Linked DNA regions of Saccharomyces cerevisiae S288C. Changing the gene in region 3 together with the main gene of any one other region gives a genetic interaction. Each region holds a gene or a part of one and is shown on either strand. Other genes may lie near its edges.

Evidence for each region.
Region 1: of SIT4 (region 3) and KTI12, a mutation in one rescues a mutant of the other (synthetic rescue), as found in Saccharomyces cerevisiae (one study listed by BioGRID).
Region 2: of SIT4 (region 3) and ISC1, changing one suppresses a phenotype caused by changing the other (phenotypic suppression), as found in Saccharomyces cerevisiae (4 studies listed by BioGRID, with this or other methods).
Region 4: of SIT4 (region 3) and SDS23, a mutation in one rescues a mutant of the other (synthetic rescue), as found in Saccharomyces cerevisiae (2 studies listed by BioGRID, with this or other methods).

Annotation. Positions count from the first base shown.
Region 1 is NC_001143.9:227,167-232,306, forward strand, and holds KTI12 (Kti12p), read right to left. Parts: upstream 2,715-5,140; coding exon 1,773-2,714; downstream 1-1,772. Other genes in the region: DNA-binding protein ABF1, read left to right, coding at 1-1,599; transcription factor HAP4, read left to right, coding at 5,061-5,140. UniProt on the Saccharomyces cerevisiae protein: Elongator complex-associated factor that is not a structural subunit but rather transiently contacts the complex.
Region 2 is NC_001137.3:190,542-196,235, reverse strand, and holds ISC1 (inositol phosphosphingolipid phospholipase), read right to left. Parts: upstream 3,440-5,694; coding exon 2,006-3,439; downstream 1-2,005. Other genes in the region: GPA2 (guanine nucleotide-binding protein subunit alpha), read right to left, coding at 1-1,068; Arf family guanine nucleotide exchange factor SBH2, read left to right, coding at 1,697-1,963; kinetochore-associated Ndc80 complex subunit SPC25, read left to right, coding at 3,612-4,277; AAA family ATPase AFG3, read left to right, coding at 4,448-5,694. UniProt on the Saccharomyces cerevisiae protein: Responsible for the hydrolysis of the phosphosphingolipids (IPS), inositol phosphorylceramide (IPC), mannosylinositol phosphorylceramide (MIPC), and mannosyldiinositol phosphorylceramide (M(IP)2C).
Region 3 is NC_001136.10:366,063-371,206, forward strand, and holds SIT4 (type 2A-related serine/threonine-protein phosphatase SIT4), read left to right. Parts: upstream 1-3,708; coding exon 3,709-4,644; downstream 4,645-5,144. Other genes in the region: STP4 (Stp4p), read right to left, coding at 677-2,149. UniProt on the Saccharomyces cerevisiae protein: Involved in the dephosphorylation of the large subunit of RNA polymerase II. Is required in late G1 for normal G1 cyclin expression, bud initiation and expression of certain genes that are periodically expressed during late G1.
Region 4 is NC_001139.9:393,426-399,231, reverse strand, and holds SDS23 (Sds23p), read left to right. Parts: upstream 1-1,613; coding exon 1,614-3,197; downstream 3,198-5,806. Other genes in the region: OLE1 (stearoyl-CoA 9-desaturase), read right to left, coding at 1-604; GEP7 (Gep7p), read left to right, coding at 3,403-4,266; E2 ubiquitin-conjugating protein RAD6, read right to left, coding at 4,728-5,246; protein kinase PKP2, read right to left, coding at 5,534-5,806. UniProt on the Saccharomyces cerevisiae protein: Involved in DNA replication and cell separation during budding.

The DNA.
Region 1 (5,140 bases), on a different chromosome or scaffold from region 3:
GACCGGGGATTGGACGACGAGAGCGGTCCTACTCATGGTAATGACAGCGGTAACCACCGTCACAACGAGGAGGATGACGTCCATACCCAAATGACGAAAAACTATTCTGACGTAGTGAACGATGAAGACATCAACGTTGCCATTGCCAATGCCGTCGCAAATGTAGATTCTCAATCAAACAATAAGCACGATGGAAAAGACGATGATGCCACTAACAACAATGATGGCCAAGATAATAATACTAATAACGATCACAACAATAACAGCAATATCAATAACAACAATGTCGGTAGCCACGGCATTTCCTCCCACTCACCATCCTCCATACGAGACACGTCTATGAATTTAGACGTCTTCAATTCTGCTACCGATGATATACCGGGCCCATTTGTCGTTACCAAAATTGAGCCCTATCATAGTCACCCACTAGAAGATAACTTGTCACTGGGTAAATTTATCCTAACTAAGATTCCAAAGATTTTACAAAACGATTTAAAGTTTGATCAAATACTAGAAAGCTCTTACAATAATTCTAACCATACAGTGAGTAAATTTAAAGTTTCTCATTACGTGGAGGAGTCCGGTCTTTTAGACATTTTAATGCAAAGATATGGATTAACCGCCGAAGATTTCGAAAAAAGGTTACTTTCCCAAATAGCCAGACGTATAACGACGTATAAAGCAAGATTTGTTTTGAAAAAGAAAAAAATGGGCGAGTATAATGATTTACAACCTTCTTCATCTTCCAATAACAACAATAACAACGATGGTGAGCTTTCTGGCACGAACTTGAGAAGTAACTCTATCGACTACGCCAAACATCAGGAAATATCAAGTGCGGGTACCTCATCGAACACAACCAAAAATGTGAATAATAACAAGAATGACAGTAATGACGATAATAACGGCAACAATAATAATGACGCCTCAAATTTAATGGAAAGTGTGCTAGATAAAACCTCTAGTCACCGGTATCAACCCAAGAAGATGCCAAGCGTCAATAAATGGAGCAAGCCAGATCAAATAACTCATTCAGACGTGTCCATGGTTGGCCTAGATGAATCAAACGATGGCGGTAATGAAAATGTCCACCCAACCTTGGCTGAAGTAGACGCTCAAGAAGCTCGTGAAACTGCTCAGTTAGCCATAGACAAGATCAATTCTTATAAGAGGTCCATTGATGACAAGAATGGTGATGGCCATAACAATTCGTCGAGAAACGTGGTAGATGAAAACTTGATCAACGATATGGATTCAGAAGATGCTCACAAGTCCAAAAGACAGCATTTGTCAGATATCACACTGGAAGAGAGAAATGAAGACGACAAACTACCACATGAAGTGGCGGAACAGTTAAGGTTACTGTCATCGCATTTGAAAGAGGTAGAGAATCTACACCAGAATAATGATGATGACGTAGACGATGTAATGGTGGACGTGGATGTAGAATCGCAGTATAATAAGAACACAACTCATCATAATAACCATCATAGCCAACCTCATCACGATGAAGAAGATGTTGCTGGACTAATAGGGAAAGCCGATGATGAAGAAGACCTTTCTGATGAAAACATTCAACCAGAATTAAGAGGTCAATAGATACCCAGTTGAGAAGACGAGCTATTTTTCTCATGTTTCTTTTGTTTATTCACTTTTCTATACTTTTTCTTTTCTATTGAAATATATATTATATCTTATGTATGTTTTTTTGTATTATAAACAAGCAAATTTCGTCTTGCCATTTACCTTCTGATATTAATCACATGTATATCTCAATTCAAGTTTTTGTTAAGATAATCAGCGAAAAGCGGACCGATCCTATCTTGATCTATATCTCTTAGTTTGTTGAAGTTAATGAATTGCCTTTTCAATCTCTGCAATTGCGCCAACGTAACGACGTTACCAATGGGCAAGTCTACGAAGAAGCAACCATCATCATTGATATCGGTAATCCCTTCGGAAACAATGACTCTTGTTCCGTTACTTACCCCGCCAATAGAAGTCAGGCTTTTGATGTGGTTCATTATGGTTTTTATTATCTTACTAGTTTCGATGTCGAGAACCTGGATGAAATTGGACTGAGACGCAGGCTTTAGTACCGTGGCTGAGTTCGGTTTTTGTAAGCCCTTACTCAACGGATCATTGTGTCCACTGTTTTTAGCCGATTTGGAAGTTTGAAAGACTACTTTACAAATATCGTCGATGTAGTCAGTTATGTTGTCCTGAGGAGTAAGAATAGCAAAGAGTGGAGAGTCCCATCGGTTGCTTGAGTTAGGCTCTTCGTATCGTTGAATCAATTGATTCAATAACTCGGGTTCCCAAGGGTTCGGGTTTGAAGTCTTATTCCACTCGAATATAGTCTCTGGTGGACACAGTGTTTGAATTACACAAAATGTGGTGGACAAATTTTTCACCTCGCAGTGAAGTTGATACCGGAAACCCTTGATATAATTCAACGAGTCTACAATGACTATCTTGTTTTTAGATAGATCTCTTTTCACTGCGGAGATGATCTCCGACCTCAATTTTCTTTCATCTTGGGAAGTTATATAATCTGAATGTTTTATGCCTAAAGATTCATCTGAATGATAGGTTATGGAATATTTACTTAATGATGGGGTTGCATCGATCTTGGACTGTAGTAGTTGTACCAAATGTTTAGCAAGCGTTGTCTTACCACTACATGGGTATCCCGTAAAAAGCACCAGTGGCATCTTCTTACTAAATTGCCTGTTTAGTTTTTTCAAAAGTTTTACAAGGTCCCTTTACCCTCATTCTGATACGTTATTGTTCAAGTTTCACCTGTTCATCAAGTATTCTTCATTTCTTTTTCCATCGCGATGACGATGACAAAACGGCAAAAAGTCAAAGAAAAAGAAAAAAAAAGATTTTTTTTCCATCATATGCAGAGAGAATATGTCCAAGCCAAGCGCAGTGTGCATGTATGCTGTTTTTAGCATATCGGGTGTGCGAAAGGAATGACATAATGATTTGCAACTAATATTTCCTTATATAAATATGCTTCTGGATATGAGTCTCATGAAACAAGTTCAGTAATTGCTTGTTTTACCCTTACTTTTTTCTTGGTTATGACTTGTGTACATAATAAATTGCCTATTTTCCCAAATTGTGTCCTTTTTCCTTTCCGGTTGGTATGAGATATTTCTTTTCAAAAATCAAAAGAAAACAACAAAGGGTTGATATTATGTAATGCAATACCTAGAATCGGGAAAAACTTGTTTGTCGTACCAAGAGAGGCAGCACTGGCGTGCCTTGATTTAATATAACTCCTGAGATAGTGGGGGTTACATGAGTTGTACAGCATAAGACTCCCTCTCCCCAGTTCTGTTCGTATATGTCGGGCTTGCTTGCGAAAGCAAGGGGTTCAATAAACAGAAAACAGAGTTTTTGGATAAAGTTTAAACAACGGAAACAGAGCAACAATGAAGGAGAGAATAAGTATCAATTGTGTAATTCTGTATACCGTAGTGCACAGTACGCTGTGCGCAACTCTTGCCTAAAAAATCTAGTTATCAAGCGGGGTGAATATGCTACAATGCCTCTTTTACGTTGTACTCTATCAAGGGATGATAGCAGTGGCACATATTGATTGATACGACTTTTCGCCGCGCGGTAGGCGAAAAGCAAAGAAAACTACAGTAATATCCAGAAATAGATGCATTTTATGTGCGAAATAAAACTCATGCTGAAAAAAATAGTAATAATTAATAGGGTAACGAATAGAATGCAAACCTTATCACGTGAAAGAGAGAACAATCATAAATGATTTAGTGCGTAGGTCCAGATTTGCGAAACACTGCGGAAGGCGAGAAAAGAATTCGAATATGAAGTAGGTAGAAGCAGAGGTAGGGCCGCTATTTAAAGATATACTTTTTCTGTACGGGCCGGTGACTTCGCAGTAGTGATGTACTATGAGATCACTATTTTGCCGGAAACTGTAGGCAAAAACCGTTTATGTCTTTTTTTCACCTTACGGGATAACCTCTGCTGAGAATTTCCAAAACTAGGCATGGATGATTGCCGGAATTTGAAACCCGGGCCCCGGAGGTTGATCGCACGGCAAATACATAAGAACCTTCTCCGCAATACGGGCTTTCCTCAATTTTCTTGGCCAAAAAGCGAGTCGGCCCCGAGCTACAAATCGGGAACAACGGAGGAATAGAGCGACAAGTTGATTCGGTCGTGCAGCCCGGAAAAAAAAGGCTGTCCTGCGGGCTTTATTCACTCCAATGCCGCTGAGAGGAACACGCGTTTCGTGGGCTTTGGACCACTACCCCGGCGTTCAGAGAAACCCCCCGGGGCAGGGGTCCGAAGTCTAAAAGTTTAATCCGGAAGTAGCGACGGGGGGGAAGCCCGCCGCGCACAGATGGCCAGCACAACGGAGCGGGGCCGAGGCGGCAAACGAGGTTAAGCCCGCTGAACCTGAAAAAAAAAACGAAAATTTTCTTTCATCAAGGACTAAAGTTTTCTTATGTTACGGATCTTGCACGCGGTAAGCAATGGCCGTAGCCTTTTCACAGTTGCTTCCAAGTGTCATGTATCGATTTTGCAGATTGTTCTAAAAGTAAATGGATTGCTATTTTCTTTCCGAGACTACTCTAAAAAAATTTATTGAGTATGAGATCGTTTTTAGATAAATTATATATATTGTAAAGCTATTAACTAATCTCCTATATCAATTTCTTCTTGCTTAACCCCGTGTGGTTGTTTAGGTCCATCTCCTTTTTCCTTTTAATTTTTTTACCTTTATTAATTCCTTCACCTCTCTAAACCCCAGTTTTATATCGTATATGCTATCTACAGGTCCACTTTACACTTAATAATATAAAAATACTACTATAAAGGAACCAGAAAAATAAAAAAGGGTCATTATTTATTTGAGCAGATCATTATCAAACGCATAGGAAGAGAAAAAACACAGTTTTATTTTTTTTCCACACATATTTATTGGTCTCCTAGTACATCAAAGAGCATTTTAATGGGTTGCTGATTTGTTTTACCTACATTTTCTAGTACAAAAAAAAAACAAAAAAAGAATCATGACCGCAAAGACTTTTCTACTACAGGCCTCCGCTAGTCGCCCTCGTAGTAACCATTTTAAAAATGAGCATAATAATAT
Region 2 (5,694 bases), on a different chromosome or scaffold from region 3:
CGCGAACCATCTACTGTTGACAATATTATCGAAAAGCACCAGCGATTCCTGAAACCTGTTCTGGTTCTTGTCCTCCATCAGCGTCTGGTCGTACTCCGATAGAGAAACGCAAAATATGACCAGAGTGACATTGTCGAAGCAGTGTATCCATTTTTTTCTTTCGGAACGCTGTCCACCCACGTCGTAAATATGCATCTTGATATCCGACCCCATATCAATGACGGTGTCAAAAATCCCTGACGTCATCTGTCTCGATCTTAATATGTCCTGCTGGGTGGGTCTGTAATTGGGCGAAGTGATCCTGGTGAAATTTTCCATGAAGTAAGGAGTCGAGTCCATTAGATAGAACTTCGATGCGTTAGGCCCATTGACTAAATCTTGTGTTGAGGGCAAGGCCCACAACGTAGATATTACGCCCGCGATATCTTCCGGGAATTGGCCCGTGTAGTTATTGGGCATTTCATAGGACATGGTTCTCGACAGGTCTTGTTGCGTCAGTTCACACTCCGGTTCCAAGTTGACGTTAAACCTTGTTCTCGCCTGGATGAGGTTCCTGCCAATTTCCAATAGATTCTGATAGATCAAGGGGATGTACTCTTTAATTTCCTGCTCGCTAAACCCGTTCTGGTGTAAAATCTTCAACTGCTGCAATACCGTGGACTTACCACTTTCACCGGCACCCAGCAGTAGCACTTTCAGTTCTTTGTCGTTGCTGCCACTTGAAGCGTCCGACAATGATGGTTGTGCTGCAACGTTACTCGACCTGTCTCTCAGGGCAGAGTCGATATTGATCTGTTGCGATCCGCTTGTATTTGCCGTAGCCGTGGGAGATATCGCGTTATTAATGCTCCCGTTTTGCTCCTTGCGGTCCTTAACATTATGCGGAGACGGCTGCTGCTGCCTCTGTTGTTGCTTTTCTTGTTGATTTGCTGTGTTGACTGTTCTCACAGTCTTCTGTGGCTCCTGCTTTGGTGGTACCTTCGCTTTGCCAACGTTGTCACTACCAGCGCTGGCGGTCTGCGTGTCAGGAGTGCTGCCGTTCTTTTCTGAAGATGCGCAGAGACCCATGATATTTGCTTGAAAATACGCGTGATTTGTGCTGTAACAATAAGGCTCGCTGTGATAGCAATTGCTCACTTTTATACCTATCGATTGCTCTTTGGGTAGTGAGAACCAAACCTACCTAAAGTTTTTCCACCCCTTCAGTCTAAGGCTGCACGCACGCGCCTATAAATCCTGCTGCTTATTAACTTTTTTTTTCGGTGCAGTATGCAAGAGGATAAGAAGAATCATTTGGGCGCAGCTGAGGGGGCTTGAACATGATGAAGTAAGGGAAGAAGAAATCGCGAACGAGGCAGTAGTCATGTTTTGTGACTGAATTGGCGGACTTCATTTTACTCCAGACATTTACTTAATGTGGAGCACGCCGGGCGCAGGGATCGTAATATATGGTATATCTTTAGTAATTATAAGTTTGATTCTGCCCCGGGTACCACGGGTTACCCGTTTCCTTAGCCTTTTGGATTTCGTCTTTTTTTTTTTCCTCCATTTTCACTTTTTCATTCAGTTACTAACTGGCCAAAAGAGACATTTTAGATATAAGAGGTATGAGAGAGTAGATATATGTGCGTGTGAGAAAAGGTAAGGGGCGCAAAGCATAAAACAGGTGGTATTATCGATCAACAGTATCATAAGAATGGCAGCTTCAGTTCCACCAGGAGGTCAGCGTATCTTGCAGAAGAGAAGACAGGCACAATCCATTAAGGAAAAGCAAGCAAAACAAACGCCCACTTCCACCAGACAGGCTGGTTACGGTGGGTCTTCAAGCTCAATTTTGAAGTTATATACGGACGAAGCCAATGGATTCAGAGTCGACTCCCTTGTCGTATTGTTCCTATCTGTCGGTTTCATCTTCTCCGTGATTGCTTTGCATCTATTGACGAAATTTACACACATTATATAATATCAGTAATTTTTTTACATATGCTAAAGAAAATCGATAATATCATTTCTCGCTCAAGAAAGTTTGCAGGTGGTGCTCCGCGTCCAGAACCTCTTGTTCGACTTCGATGAGGGCTCTGATTTCAGACCTGCCAAACAAGAAGGAGATGGCACCGTCGATGGTGCCCGAGATGGAGACAGCAATAGCGAAAAGGACCCAGAAGATGGAGGACCAGCCTGCCTTGTTTGCAGTAAACGTTGTCACGACCAACGACGCTATTAGGAGAAGTATTGAGGCCCAGAAATGTAGGCCACGGAAAAATTTCTGTCTTTGGGCTGTCTTCAAGTACGTGTGGATGCATTCTATCATGGTTTCGTAGTTGGAGTATCTCTGCAAGATCAGCTCTCTATCATGAGTCTTCGCACGCTTAACGGAGGTGGATGGACGGGACTCTGTGCCCTGTGGGACGATGTTAAGGGTGCATGAGTATGCAAAATGGTCAGAGACACTGCAGTCCAGGTGAGGGATCCGTTCAGTGAACCTGACACCTGCGTCTACTGTTTGCAAGAAATCAGGGTCGATAAGAGCATAATCCAACCTGCATGCCTCATCGGGTTGTCTTTGGGCCCTCCATGTGTTGAGCAGCGAATCGCACGTGGTACAGCCCTTAAGCAATTGTTGCAATGGAGACAGACGAGCGATCACCGCCAAGTCTTGCTTCCCATGCAATTGCTCCCAGGAGTCGACCAGGCCGGCCTCCTGCGTGAGAAATTTGTGGGGCAGTGAGCCCGGTCTGGAGTTTAAGTCACCCACCACAATCACCGCATAACCGGCCTGCCTGTAAAGCTTAATGAGCCTGCTGAAATCCCAGGCCTGACAAGATCTGTGGCACAAGTAGGCGGCATCACCCTGCTTGGCGTATGGGGCGTGCATGTGACTGTTCATTATTGCAATGGGGCGGGTTCCTGTGTTCAATACGGTGATTGCTATAGATTTCCCTACGTACCAGTCGCCACGGAACACCGCACTCGGTCTACCGTTTATCGGGAACCGGTAAAGAAAGGTCGACTCTATCGGGACCTTGGACAGTATGGCCAACCCAGGCCCCGTCAGAATACCAGAATGGAACAAACGCTGATACGGATACTTGGAGGCACACGCAGAAGCTAGATACTTCCAGTCTTCCACACACCAGATTTCTTGTAAGGCAATCACGTCGTAATCTTCGTTTTCATTACTATCTCCACCATTGGGCAACAACTCGTCAGATATTGGCGTAAGCATTGAGTGGCCCGCCAATTTATCAGCAATTGCTCTGAGTCTTTCTTTACGGTGTTTGGAGACGTATTTTAACCCCCATGTATTGAAGGTCAGAAACTTTATGGAATACGCTTTACTATTATCGGACATAATTGCGTTGGTCCCGTTCAGTGCTTCAAACTCAGATTGACCATCTTCCTTCCTCTCGTGAACATCTCTGTCTTTTCTGTTGTACATATATCTGCTTTTTTTCCCTTTTTACGCGGAAAGCGCAAATTTCCTCGAAGATTTAAGCCAAACCAAAATAAATCAAACCAAACCAAAACAAAACAAAAACAAAAACAAAAACAGGCTAAGCCGATTCAATTAAAACCGCTCATACGTATACAACACATACACACATACAAGAATGGCCAGCATAGACGCATTTTCGGACCTTGAGCGCCGGATGGACGGGTTCCAAAAGGACGTGGCCCAGGTACTGGCACGTCAGCAAAACCACGCGCGCCAACAGCTGCAACAGTTCCAAGCGGAAATGCGTCAATTACATAACCAACACCAACATCTCATAGATGAACTGCAACGGCTTGCCACCCAGCGCACCGCTCTGCAGCAACAAATACATGCGGCCCAACAAGCTACAAATACCACCAGAGAGCAGTGGAGAAGCTATCACGAGCGTGAATCTGAGTTATCTAGACGGCAGTCGACCTTAGCAGCCCAATCGCGCGAGCTGGACTCGCTGCTGCAACAGCGTGGTAAAGAGTGTGTCCAATTACGCGCACGTTGGGCTGCGCAGTCGGGTAACGATGCCGCAGAGGTCGCACTGTACGAACGGCTGTTGCAGCTTCGTGTACTACCCGGAGCCAGCGATGTGCATGACGTACGTTTCGTATTCGGCGATGATTCACGCTGCTGGATCGAAGTCGCGATGCACGGAGACCACGTGATCGGAAACTCTCACCCGGCGCTGGACCCCAAGAGTCGGGCAACACTTGAGCACGTGCTTACCGTCCAGGGCGACCTCGCGGCATTTTTAGTCGTGGCCCGCGATATGCTTCTGGCATCTTTATAACGCCTTTATACGCATCTGTTCAGTTTATTCTGGGCCTATGATTTAGATGAGGAATAAATTGGTTCTTACTGTCTATACATAACTTTTACAAGGACCCATTCTATATTAAAGGAGATTAACGCAGTCTTCAAATAAAGGCATCATCCACTTATTTTATAATATACTAAGTGATGATGATGTGGCAACGATATGCAAGGGGTGCGCCACGCTCATTGACATCACTCTCATTTGGTAAAGCTAGCCGCATATCAACAGTGAAGCCAGTGCTTCGCTCGCGCATGCCAGTTCACCAGCGTTTGCAGACGTTATCTGGTCTGGCAACCAGAAACACAATACACCGTTCTACCCAAATACGTTCCTTCCATATCTCATGGACAAGGTTAAATGAAAATAGGCCAAACAAAGAGGGTGAGGGCAAGAACAATGGTAATAAAGATAATAATAGCAATAAAGAAGATGGCAAAGACAAAAGAAATGAGTTTGGTTCATTATCAGAATACTTCAGATCTAAGGAATTTGCTAATACGATGTTTTTGACCATCGGATTCACAATTATATTTACTTTGCTCACACCTTCCAGTAACAACTCAGGAGACGACTCTAACCGCGTCTTGACTTTCCAGGATTTCAAAACAAAATACCTGGAGAAGGGTCTTGTGTCCAAGATTTACGTCGTTAATAAGTTTCTCGTAGAGGCCGAATTAGTCAATACAAAGCAAGTTGTATCGTTCACCATTGGTTCAGTAGATATTTTTGAGGAACAGATGGACCAGATCCAGGACCTCTTGAACATTCCTCCTCGGGATCGTATCCCCATCAAATACATTGAGAGATCTTCTCCCTTCACATTTTTGTTCCCCTTCCTGCCCACCATCATTCTGCTTGGTGGCCTTTACTTCATAACCAGAAAAATAAATAGTTCACCACCAAATGCCAATGGTGGTGGTGGAGGAGGCCTCGGCGGCATGTTTAATGTTGGAAAATCCAGAGCAAAGCTCTTCAATAAGGAAACAGACATTAAAATTTCATTTAAAAATGTTGCCGGTTGTGATGAAGCTAAACAGGAAATCATGGAATTTGTTCACTTTTTGAAGAACCCAGGTAAGTACACTAAATTGGGTGCCAAGATTCCACGAGGCGCTATTCTTTCTGGACCCCCAGGTACCGGTAAGACTCTCTTGGCCAAGGCCACCGCAGGTGAGGCGAACGTGCCCTTCTTGTCAGTATCAGGTTCTGAGTTCGTCGAAATGTTCGTTGGGGTGGGTGCTTCACGTGTAAGAGACTTGTTTACTCAAGCAAGGTCTATGGCCCCCTCGATTATCTTTATAGATGAAATTGACGCTATCGGTAAAGAAAGAGGCAAAGGCGGCGCTCTCGGTGGCGCTAACGATGAAAGAGAAGCTACGCTGAATCAATT
Region 3 (5,144 bases):
CTTTCAAAAAAGAAAGAAGAAAATTGGTGAAGAGGAAATGTGCTTTTCTGTTGGAGTTGGTCAACAATATGATGAGGAAGAAGGGAAAGCCGCAAAGACTGGATTTACGCAATGGACTACATTCTCATGTGAAAAAAAGAAGTGCTGCTTCGAAGGTTCGCGACCCTTTCAAGGGACTCGCCGCGATGCAGAGAAAAAAAAAAGAAGAGATAACGTGGGGGCAGCTAAAAAAAGACGAATCGATAATGAGTCCATGACTTGAGCCGGACGGACTTATAATTCGATTCGGGCCTAGGCTTGTACAGCTGAAATAGTGTACAATATAAGGAACTAAACGATCGGAGACCAATCGGAGAGCCGGCAGTTGAATCAGGTGCTTCATCACTGGCATAACCTATCCGCAAACGGCTGATGCAGGTCTCAACGCCCTTCTGGTAAAATCAAAAAAAGTAAAAAAAACGGCTCATGCCAGCTTGCTTCCTGTCAATAGCGGTTGTTGATTTTTTCGCTTCATGCCTAAAAAGAGAAACGAGACACAGAGAGAAAACAAGAATCTAGATTAATAACGTAGGGCAGCGTAACAATAATTTACGCAGAAATGATGTGTATTATTAGGGCATAAATAAATAAATGTATGTATGTGTGTGTATGTATGAGTCGGTGAATGACTTTGGTTTTAGTGATATGAGTAGCCACATCCTTTCCCCACGTGCTTATTTAGCCAGACGTCAACGTTCGGAAATTGCAGTCCACAATGCTTGCACTTCCCCGGCACAACACCTCTATCTTCTTTCTTGGTCTTGGGCGGGTACTCGAAATGCAAAGCCTTTAGGTGATTCTTGAAAGTATCACAGCGCGAAAAAACGCCCGTTTGATGACAGTTTATTGGCTCGAAATAGAGTGATCTAGACTTGTGTGGATACACCTCCATATCCAAATTGATCAGAGTAGAGTTGTAAGGACACTTGAATGCACCTTTAATCTTGTATAGTGATTTCAATTGGTTTTTCTTCAGTAGTTTTGTTTCTTCGGAAGAGGATGAGGCAGCGAGTTTATCGTTTGAGTCGTCGCTGTCGTTGTTTGCGGAGGTGCGGGCAGTGTCATCTTGATCGTCAGCACCACTATTGTTGTCGGACTCCCTTGCGTATATTTGCATAAATTCATCTTTCCAATGGCGCTTCTTGTGCCTTATCAGATCATTGTTCCTGGCAAAGCCGCGTTGACAGATAGGGCACTTATGCGGTCTGTCCTCCGGAGTTAAATGAGTGGATTTATGCGTAGATAGGTTGGCGTAGAAGTTGTGGCAGATGGGGCATTCCTTTTTCTTTCTTTGCTTCGTTATCTTGGCGGAATCCTTTAAAGACGATGAATACCTGCTTGTATGTTCATTAGTCAATGGGGAATGAATAGACGGTAGTGCAGAGGCACTACTACTACTGTTGAGTTGCTGTTGCTGTTGTTGTTTGACGATCAAAGGTGGGAATCCACTAACGGGTAGGCTGGACACGGATTTTGATCTCGGTACGTTATCTACCGCGGTTGGCAATATACTCTGGTGTTGAGTTGGTGGTGAGGGGGTGATGGTTTTGAAACCCGTTGTGTTGTTAGGGTTGCAAAATGTTAGCTCATGTCTGTGATGATCTAGCACTGTTCTTGGCACCGGTGATGTAAAATTGGCATGCAAGGAATTTGATCTGCCGTTAAATTCTCTTTCTGCAACTGTAATTAAATTGGTGAAGGAGGATATGGGTGGCAAAATGACATGGCTTGAGCTGTTGGATGACAGCGGTGTTGGAGAAAGGCTATGAGGGAAATAGCATTTGGAATTATGTGCCAAGGCTGTATTGTCTGTAGGCGAACTCGTGATAGACTGGCATGCAGAGGAGTTATAAGAAGAGTATGATGTAGTTAATGGGGGAGGTGGAGGAGAATTCAGTGTAGAACTGAGGGTAGAGCGCGAAGACGACGTAGTACTGGACAACAATGGCAGTGATGGATCTATCAAATGGTGAATGGTGCCATTGGGAGAAGCCGTTGGGTTTGGCATTTTTTCTGGAGTATCTATAAAGGGAGGGTTTCTCCGTAAAGACATCGTCTCATGGGACATTACTGAGTCAATGCTTGATGCAAAAGATGATGATACCAGCATAGGGGAAGCCAAAGAAAAGAAGTAACAAATATTCCAAGCGCTCCAGTGTTACAGCTACTGCAAACCAAGAAAAGCAACTGACAAGAATTAGATATCCTAATCATAGGGCACCGAATTTACTTCCATGTTTTTTCCAGCTCCACTTAGAATATATATATAAATGTATAAAGACGGAAATATGCGCTTTTGAGAAATAGACAGAATAAAGAACGCACTGATGCAGCTTTAACTTTTAAGAAATGGTGCTTTTTTTTTCGCCCTCTGTTCCTCTGCGGATGGGAGCTATCAGTAGTAGAAAACAAAAGGAAACGAAGAAAAAAAATTGGAAAAGGGAAGAGTAAAACAGCGAGGAGAGCATTACGTACATAAAATAGGTTTAAGTAACCATACCACTAACAATGCCCCTAGGAAGTGACAATCTAGAGATATCCTTGAGAGTTAGCCACGGGCCGTAAGGGAAGGAAAAGACCAATCTAGCAATAAGCGCATGGGGGGTTTCCGACAGCCACTACCAAATTGTGTGGCAGCCAAGCGAGAATCAATGCGGCTATTTGAGATCTGTTCTTTTTCTATTCAAAGACTCGAATGAGGCCAACGAAAGAAGTAGTAAAAAAAATCCGGGATTCCCAATTCAGGTCATATCCGGCAAGACATTCCCGGATTTTATTTTCCTCAATGTGCTCGTGTAAGTGTCGGCCCGGAACTTGATTCCCCCCGGACTAATTAGAAGTTCCGAGAACGCGCGCAAGCCGTCCCGCGCGTAGAAGGCTAAAAAGCAGCCGGAGGAAAAAAAATAACGCAAATGTGGGCTCCCCTTCCCCTGTGCGGCCACGTCGTGCCTCCCCACCATTTGCCTCATATGCGGCCATTGCGTGTGGTGTTTTTTCTGCTCTTGTCACTGATTTTAACTACCGCGGGGTTTGACTAACAAGCAAATTGCAAAGCCGCGGCGGTTCCCGGAAAAAAAAAAAGGAAGGCCACGCTATTGGTAACCATGAAGTGTAAGGCGACGCAGGAGAGATGAAAAGAATGAAATTAAAAGAAATCCAAAAAAAAAAAAAAAAAAAAAAAAGAAAAAGAAAGAAAAAGGGGGAATAACACAGCCGCGGGTAACATGAAGCGGCGCGAGCGATACTTCCGTGTTAAGTGATATCCATCTTTCTGCGGGTAATAAGTCTAGTCAAGTCCGCTGTATTTTTTCTTTCGCTCTCGCTCTCTTTCTCTCTTCGCTCATGGAGCGGTAAAAAAAAAACATGCATATCGAGTCGAAGCCCAGCAAAATTAAAAAAAATATAGCCTTCAGTGGAAACCCAGTGATGCTCGCACACAACGTAATGGAGCATTGAAGAGCTACAGACGGTAGATAAAAAAGAAAAAGAAGCAATACAATAGGTTATTGCATACTATCATAAGCATACAGATAAAGGAGTTCTGCACATACGGTCCCTCTTTCTCTTCCTATTATTCTTCAGTCCCCTCCTCGCTCTTTTTAGATTCGACATTACAAGGTGAAATACTATTGAAGCTCAAAAACATCCATAATAAAAGGAACAATAACAATGGTATCTAGAGGCCCCGACGAATGGCTTGAAACAATAAAGAAATGCCAGGCGCTAACTGAAAACGAGATGAAACAACTGTGTGAAATGGTGAAAGAACTTTTGATGGAGGAAAGTAACATCCAGCCGGTACAGACCCCCGTTACTGTATGTGGAGACATACACGGCCAATTTCATGACTTGTTAGAGCTATTCCGTACGGCGGGTGGCTTTCCTGACGATATAAACTACATTTTTCTCGGTGATTACGTGGATCGTGGCTACTATAGTCTGGAAACTTTTACGCTTTTAATGTGTCTGAAAGTCAAGTACCCGGCAAAGATAACTTTGGTCAGAGGAAACCATGAGTCCAGACAAATTACTCAAGTTTACGGGTTCTACGAGGAATGCCTGAATAAGTACGGATCTACCACCGTATGGAAGTATTGCTGTCAAGTTTTTGATTTCCTGACGCTGGCCGCTATAATTGACGGTAAGATCTTATGTGTCCATGGAGGGTTATCTCCCGAGATTAGAATGCTCGATCAAATCAGAGTCTTGTCAAGAGCTCAAGAAGTGCCACACGAGGGTGGGTTCTCGGACCTGCTTTGGTCAGACCCTGACAATGTAGAGGCTTGGCAAGTTTCCCCTCGTGGTGCAGGATGGCTCTTTGGCAGTAAAGTTGCTAGAGAGTTTAACCACGTTAATGGACTGAACCTTATTGCCCGGGCTCACCAACTGGTTATGGAGGGGTTCAAGTACCATTTTCCTGAAAAGGACGTTGTAACCGTGTGGTCCGCGCCAAATTACTGTTATAGATGTGGTAATGTCGCGAGTGTAATGAAGGTCGATGAGGATCTGGAACCTACTTTCAAAATTTTCTCGGCTGTTCCCGATGACTACATAAGAGAATCCACGGCAAACCATAATAATCAAAGAGCCGGCTATTTCTTATAACACGACGGCATGCCCTCCCTAACTCGACGAATAAAAATAATTTTCACAATAAAAAAAAGACTACAAAAATCAGAAACTTTTTCATTACGCCATTTGCTACGATACGATACACAACAAGCACATTCTAAGAGCATTCCATTTACTATGGTCAAAATGACCAAATAAAAAATTAAAAAAAAAAAGAAGGAATGAGAACTAGTAACTACATATTCAACAATTGCAGTTTTCTTTTCCTTTTTGTCCTTGTCCTTTCTTTCCTATTTATATATATATATATATATATATATAATACTACTATGTTATATTACATTATATTATTATCACAATAATTATTACGTTCATCGTGCCGAAACGTCACCTCCCACGGTTTGGATCTATTGAAAGAGGGTGGAATCCCTGATAATAAAAAAACTTTAATCAACACTCGGGAGGGGAAATATAAAAGACTGGCGCTACTTAAAGAGCTGATTCGCCAAGGCAGAAAAGCATAACCATATTAA
Region 4 (5,806 bases), on a different chromosome or scaffold from region 3:
GGTGAATTCTGTGAGAGTGGCCCCACCATTTAGCGGACCCTTCAACGGAAGCACAACCGAAGATAGCGTAGAATAATCTCAATGGCCAGTGAGCGGAGTAAGATCTGTGAGACCATAATCTATGGTAACCGGCAGTAATAGAAACACCACCGACAGCGTAGTAGAAAACGGAGAAAAGGAAAACGTTTAAATGCAAAGGCACTTTACCAGAGAGAGCAAAGTACCAACCAATCATTGGCATACCACAAACAAGAACCATGTTCAACCAGTTCAAATGTTGGTGCCAGTTATTCAAAGTCCATGGTTGTTCGGAGATGTGAATTTTAGTTTTAGCTTCTTCTTTTTCTTGGTTGTCCTTTTCTAGCAGACGATCCAAATTGGACTTCTTTTCGTTTCCCTTCTTGTCGAATTCCACGGAAACCATTTCCTTGGAGCCCATTAAAGAACCAAAACCGTTGACAATTCTTGGTGCTTTCTTATTCAAACCAGTAGCCAAAATATTAGCTTCCGTTAAGTCGACTTCGTCGACAATGCCACTGCTGGCAGAGTCATCCTTTGGAAATTGGTCGTCAATCAATTCAATAGTAGTTCCAGAAGTTGGCATCTTTGTTGTAATGTTTTAGTGCTGTTTATAATATGATCACCACAACTATCTATTACTATGATGTTCTATTCTACGTAATACAAAATATAAACGGAAACAGAAGTAGGAAAGATGGAAATAGAACAATAAATGAATCAAGATCTGCCCCCATATATATATGTATATGCTGATTTGCAAGACTCGATGAGCCAGGAGCCGATGATTTGCTGCATATATTGTTAACTACTATTATTTCCACCTTTGTGTGCCATCCCCATAGCCGTAACAATAGGGATAGGTGTGTCTGAGTGAGCAAGACTCGTAGAAGCACACCTGGTTGGGCACTAGATAAGGTTTGTTGAGTGTTCAACGTCCGAAAGAAAGCTGCCGACTATGCGAAGAGAACCTTAAGCCGTTATTACCTCTGCCTGTCACAGGCGATGTGATGCTAACGAACAGCACCAGAGCCAAGCCAACTGGGGCGGTCTGCAGAGAAGGCTGGGATACCCGAAATAGCTCGCTCAACAGCTTTTTTTCTTCTACGGAAGCCCACCAGATAAGCGCCTTTGTTGGGCCCGCTAACCCCGGGACATGCCCGGGCTCGGAGTTAGTTTTTGGCCACCGGGCGCCCGAAAAATGCTTCAGAAAAGAGCCATAGTCACGGAGAATCTTGACGTGCATAATGATTAGATATGACACCCTCATTCTCATTTGGATTTATTATCACGTGATGGTATAACCCGGACTGGAACTACATATCCGCTAATCCTTGACTTATTTCCATGTGTCATTTATTTTTTTTTTTTTTTTTTTTCCTTTTTTTTTTCCGCCCGGCAAATGAAATGAAAAATGGGTGATGGAGAAACCATGAGGTTTTTGAGAAATTTCACAGATGACTATAAACTTAGCGATATCATCTCGTACAGAAAAGTAACCAAACCTGCAAACGAAAAGCTTACTTTTGTTAAAAGCGTATCAAGCTAGCGATACGAATACCTCAGAACATCATCTTTTCAGCAAGACCCACCCAATGCCTCAAAATACAAGACACACGTCCATCGTAGAAATGCTTTCTACCCCACCTCAATTACCGAATTCCACAGATTTAAATAGTTTGAGCGAACAGACAGACAAGAACACTGAAGCAAACAAAAGCGACACAGAATCACTACATAAATCTATTTCGAAATCGTCATCTTCATCTTCTCTCTCCACGCTGGATAACACGGAATACTCAAACAATAATGGCAACTCCTTGTCCACCTTGAATTCACAGAATCTGTTATCTGTTCATAGGCAGGAGTGGCAACACACTCCTCTGTCAAATTTGGTGGAACAGAACAAATTGATTTTCATCAGAGGTTCTATTTCCGTAGAGGAAGCATTCAACACGCTGGTCAAGCACCAGCTAACGTCTTTGCCTGTGGAGAATTTTCCGGGAGACATGAATTGTTTAACATTCGACTATAATGATCTCAATGCGTACCTTCTTCTTGTATTAAACAGGATCAAGGTGAGCAACGACAAGATAACCTCAGACTGCCAGAATGGTAAGTCCGTGCCCGTGGGCGAGATAGTAAAGTTGACACCTAAGAATCCATTCTACAAATTGCCCGAAACGGAAAACTTATCGACGGTAATAGGCATACTAGGCTCAGGTGTGCATCGTGTTGCCATCACGAACGTGGAAATGACACAGATTAAAGGTATACTTTCCCAACGTCGATTGATTAAGTATCTGTGGGAGAATGCGAGATCATTTCCCAACTTGAAGCCTCTCTTGGACTCTTCCCTGGAGGAGCTGAATATTGGTGTACTAAATGCAGCCCGTGATAAACCTACATTCAAGCAGTCACGTGTCATATCCATCCAAGGTGACGAGCATCTAATTATGGCTCTGCATAAAATGTATGTCGAAAGAATCTCTTCCATTGCGGTAGTTGACCCGCAGGGAAACTTGATTGGTAATATTTCAGTAACAGACGTCAAACACGTCACCAGAACTTCACAATATCCTTTATTACACAATACATGTCGTCATTTTGTCTCGGTTATTTTGAATTTAAGGGGCCTAGAGACCGGTAAGGACTCATTTCCTATTTTCCATGTGTATCCAACAAGTTCCCTGGCAAGAACGTTTGCCAAATTGGTCGCTACCAAATCTCACAGATTATGGATAGTACAACCAAATGACAATCAACCAACAGCATCTTCCGAAAAATCCTCATCTCCATCACCAAGTACTCCACCCGTAACGACATTGCCATCGCTTGCGTCGTCATACCATTCGAACACGCAATCTTCCAGGATGGCCAACTCTCCTGTTCTAAAATCTTCAGATACATCAAACAATAAAATAAATGTAAATATAAATTTGAGTGGTCCCTCACCTTCTCAACCACAGTCTCCATCGGCCACAATGCCACCACCTCAAAGTCCAAGTAATTGTCCCGCATCTCCAACTCCAGCACATTTCGAAAAGGAGTATAGAACAGGTAAATTGATAGGTGTTGTGTCATTGACTGACATATTAAGTGTTTTGGCAAGAAAACAAACGCATCATAAGGAAATTGATCCGCAGATGGCAAGAAAGCAAAGAGGGCATATAGGCTGAAACAAACCAGACGAAAAAAACTGGCTTCATTTAACTACATATACATATATAAGGGTTTTTCTGATTTTTATTTTATCCCAATAAAGTTTGATTTTTTTTTTTTTACTTTTATTATGCACTGGGGCGAGGTTTTTAGGCCCTTTCTTTTCTTAGAGGAAATATATACACATGTTCTCGCTAAAATCAGTTAAAAGGTCCGATTGAGATGGTACTGTCAAATGTTAAAATCTTCAGATTAAAATCGCATAGAGCCTTCAGAATCGGTCCCATGATTAAAGCAGTCGCAGGAAATCTTTTGGTAAAGAGATTTTATCAACCAAAATTAGAAAGAATTCCACCGGCTTCACTGCTTTTGAAGCAGAAAATACGGTTAGCTCAAAATGGCAGTACTACATCTACAGAAAACCCCATTTCCTTCTCACAGACCATGTCCGAGATATTTAGCGTCTTGCAGCCAAGTGCACCAGATCTAGATGAAGACGAAACAAGTGGTTTGAAACGCGATCATTTATTAACTGAGCGTCTAAACAACGGCGAGCTTGGTGTCATTATGAACAAATTCTTCAATCCGTCTTCGACACATAACAATCAGTTGATAGATACGAATATATTACTTCAGAATTTTCCTAAGTTAAGTGGTAATGACTTAGATTTATTGGATTTTGCCATAAATGAGAAAATGCGAGGAAACTGGAATGATCTAAAGCAAGATTTCATTCAGTTGTGGTACTACAAGTCATTTGGCTTTCTTGGACCTCGAACTCAATTTGTCCTGACAAACTCTTCTCCGTCAGTTAGGTCCCAATTCTTGAAACTTCCATTCATCGAATATAATTGGTTTCTCCTACAAAATAACAAAAACGCAAATATACTACCTGCTGATGTGCAAAACGTGGTCAAGGTGTTTCATCTTGATGATAAAAGGTTTACTTGGAAGAGCATAGATCCATTCAGCAAAGCTATAATTTCATTCGTCGTTTTTGTTTCCATATATGTGTGGTTGGATGAAAGTGCAAAACAAAAAACGAAGGAGCTGCCCGCACAGAAGAGTACTGTAATATCAGAATAAAAAAAAATGGGGTCACTCTTCATTCTTGCAGTTAAAAGTGCCACTCACTCATGATTTTTTTTTTTCCTGTTTTTTTGATTTTTTTTATATATTATACATTAAGTTATCTAAGTAAATATATTCTTTCTACTCTAAATAAGTATTCCTTGAATCAAACACAAAAGATACGGGTATCGGCAGTTATAACCGATAACAAATTGTCCTTATTTCTCATTTCACGTTATTTTCTCCAAAGAAATTTATGGTAGAGCAGTGTTTCTTTTTAGTATATTATTTATATGCAATGTTTCTATCATTATTAAATTTTCTTTACGGTATAAAGTAGAAGATGGAGGAATAGAAAGCAAACGGATCGATAGAGAAAGAAACTCACGATGAAGCCCTATATTTGATTGAACAAAAAGGTAATCGAATTCATAATATCGGCTCGGCATTCATCATTAAGATTCTTTTGATTTTTCTCAGTCTGCTTCGTCGTCGTCGTCGTCGTCATCATCATCATCATCATCGTCCATATCGTCCATATCATCCTCCCAAGATTTCTCTACCGTCTCCTTAACTCTTTTGACGTACTGTGATTTATGATCTTTGAATAATGTTGCAGCTTCAACGTTTGCTGGCGAAGCTGGATTTGGATCGTTGAATAAACTTTGAATGGATGTCAATATGGATGCGACATCATATGTTGGAGTCCATCTGTTCTGCAAAATATCCAAACAAATTTCACCATTTGCATAGACATTGGGATGAAACATTTCACTCAAAAATTTGACATGCGGTGGCTTATTGGGATATTCTTCATCAAACTCCAACAATAACCTAAAAGTTCCGTCTTCATATGGAGTATCGGCTGGCCCGATAATCATGGCGTTCCATACCATGACGTTATCAGGTAATGGTGAAGCAGATACACCCGGTGGGGCATCTTCCTTCATACGTTTAAAATCTCTCATCAACCTTCTTCTAGCTGGTGTGGACATGACGCTTTATCTTTTAGTCTCTGTCTGCCTAAAAATAATCTTTGGAATTCGATCTTCGTTGATTTTCCACTCTACTATTTATGTCATCAACTCTGCAACTTGATAGTTCTTTCCTTTTTTTCTCTTACACATTCCATTCGCTTTCATTTTTATTTTTCCAGCTTTCTACTCCGGCTACCCGGAGGTGCCTTTTTGTATATACATACACTAATCCGGGAAATGTAGTCACCATACTAATATTCCGAATATGTATTTGTTCCTTGGTATATAGTGTAAGCATGGTTAGCTCACACTTTATCTAATTGTAGTTTCTTCGTATGCTTCATCAAGTTGCCTAATTTTAATACAACATCGGTACCATATCCAGGCATTGAATGCAATGAAAGGTCGCCGTTCCAATATTCAGCATACACTTTACACATGGCTAACCCAATCCCAAGCTTGTATCTAAAAGACCGCTTTAACAATTCAATTAGGGGAGTTTCATATTTGATGTGCCCATTTATGATGCTAGGATAACTCATTGGTTCTAGCGACGTGTGCATGTACGGTTTTAATGT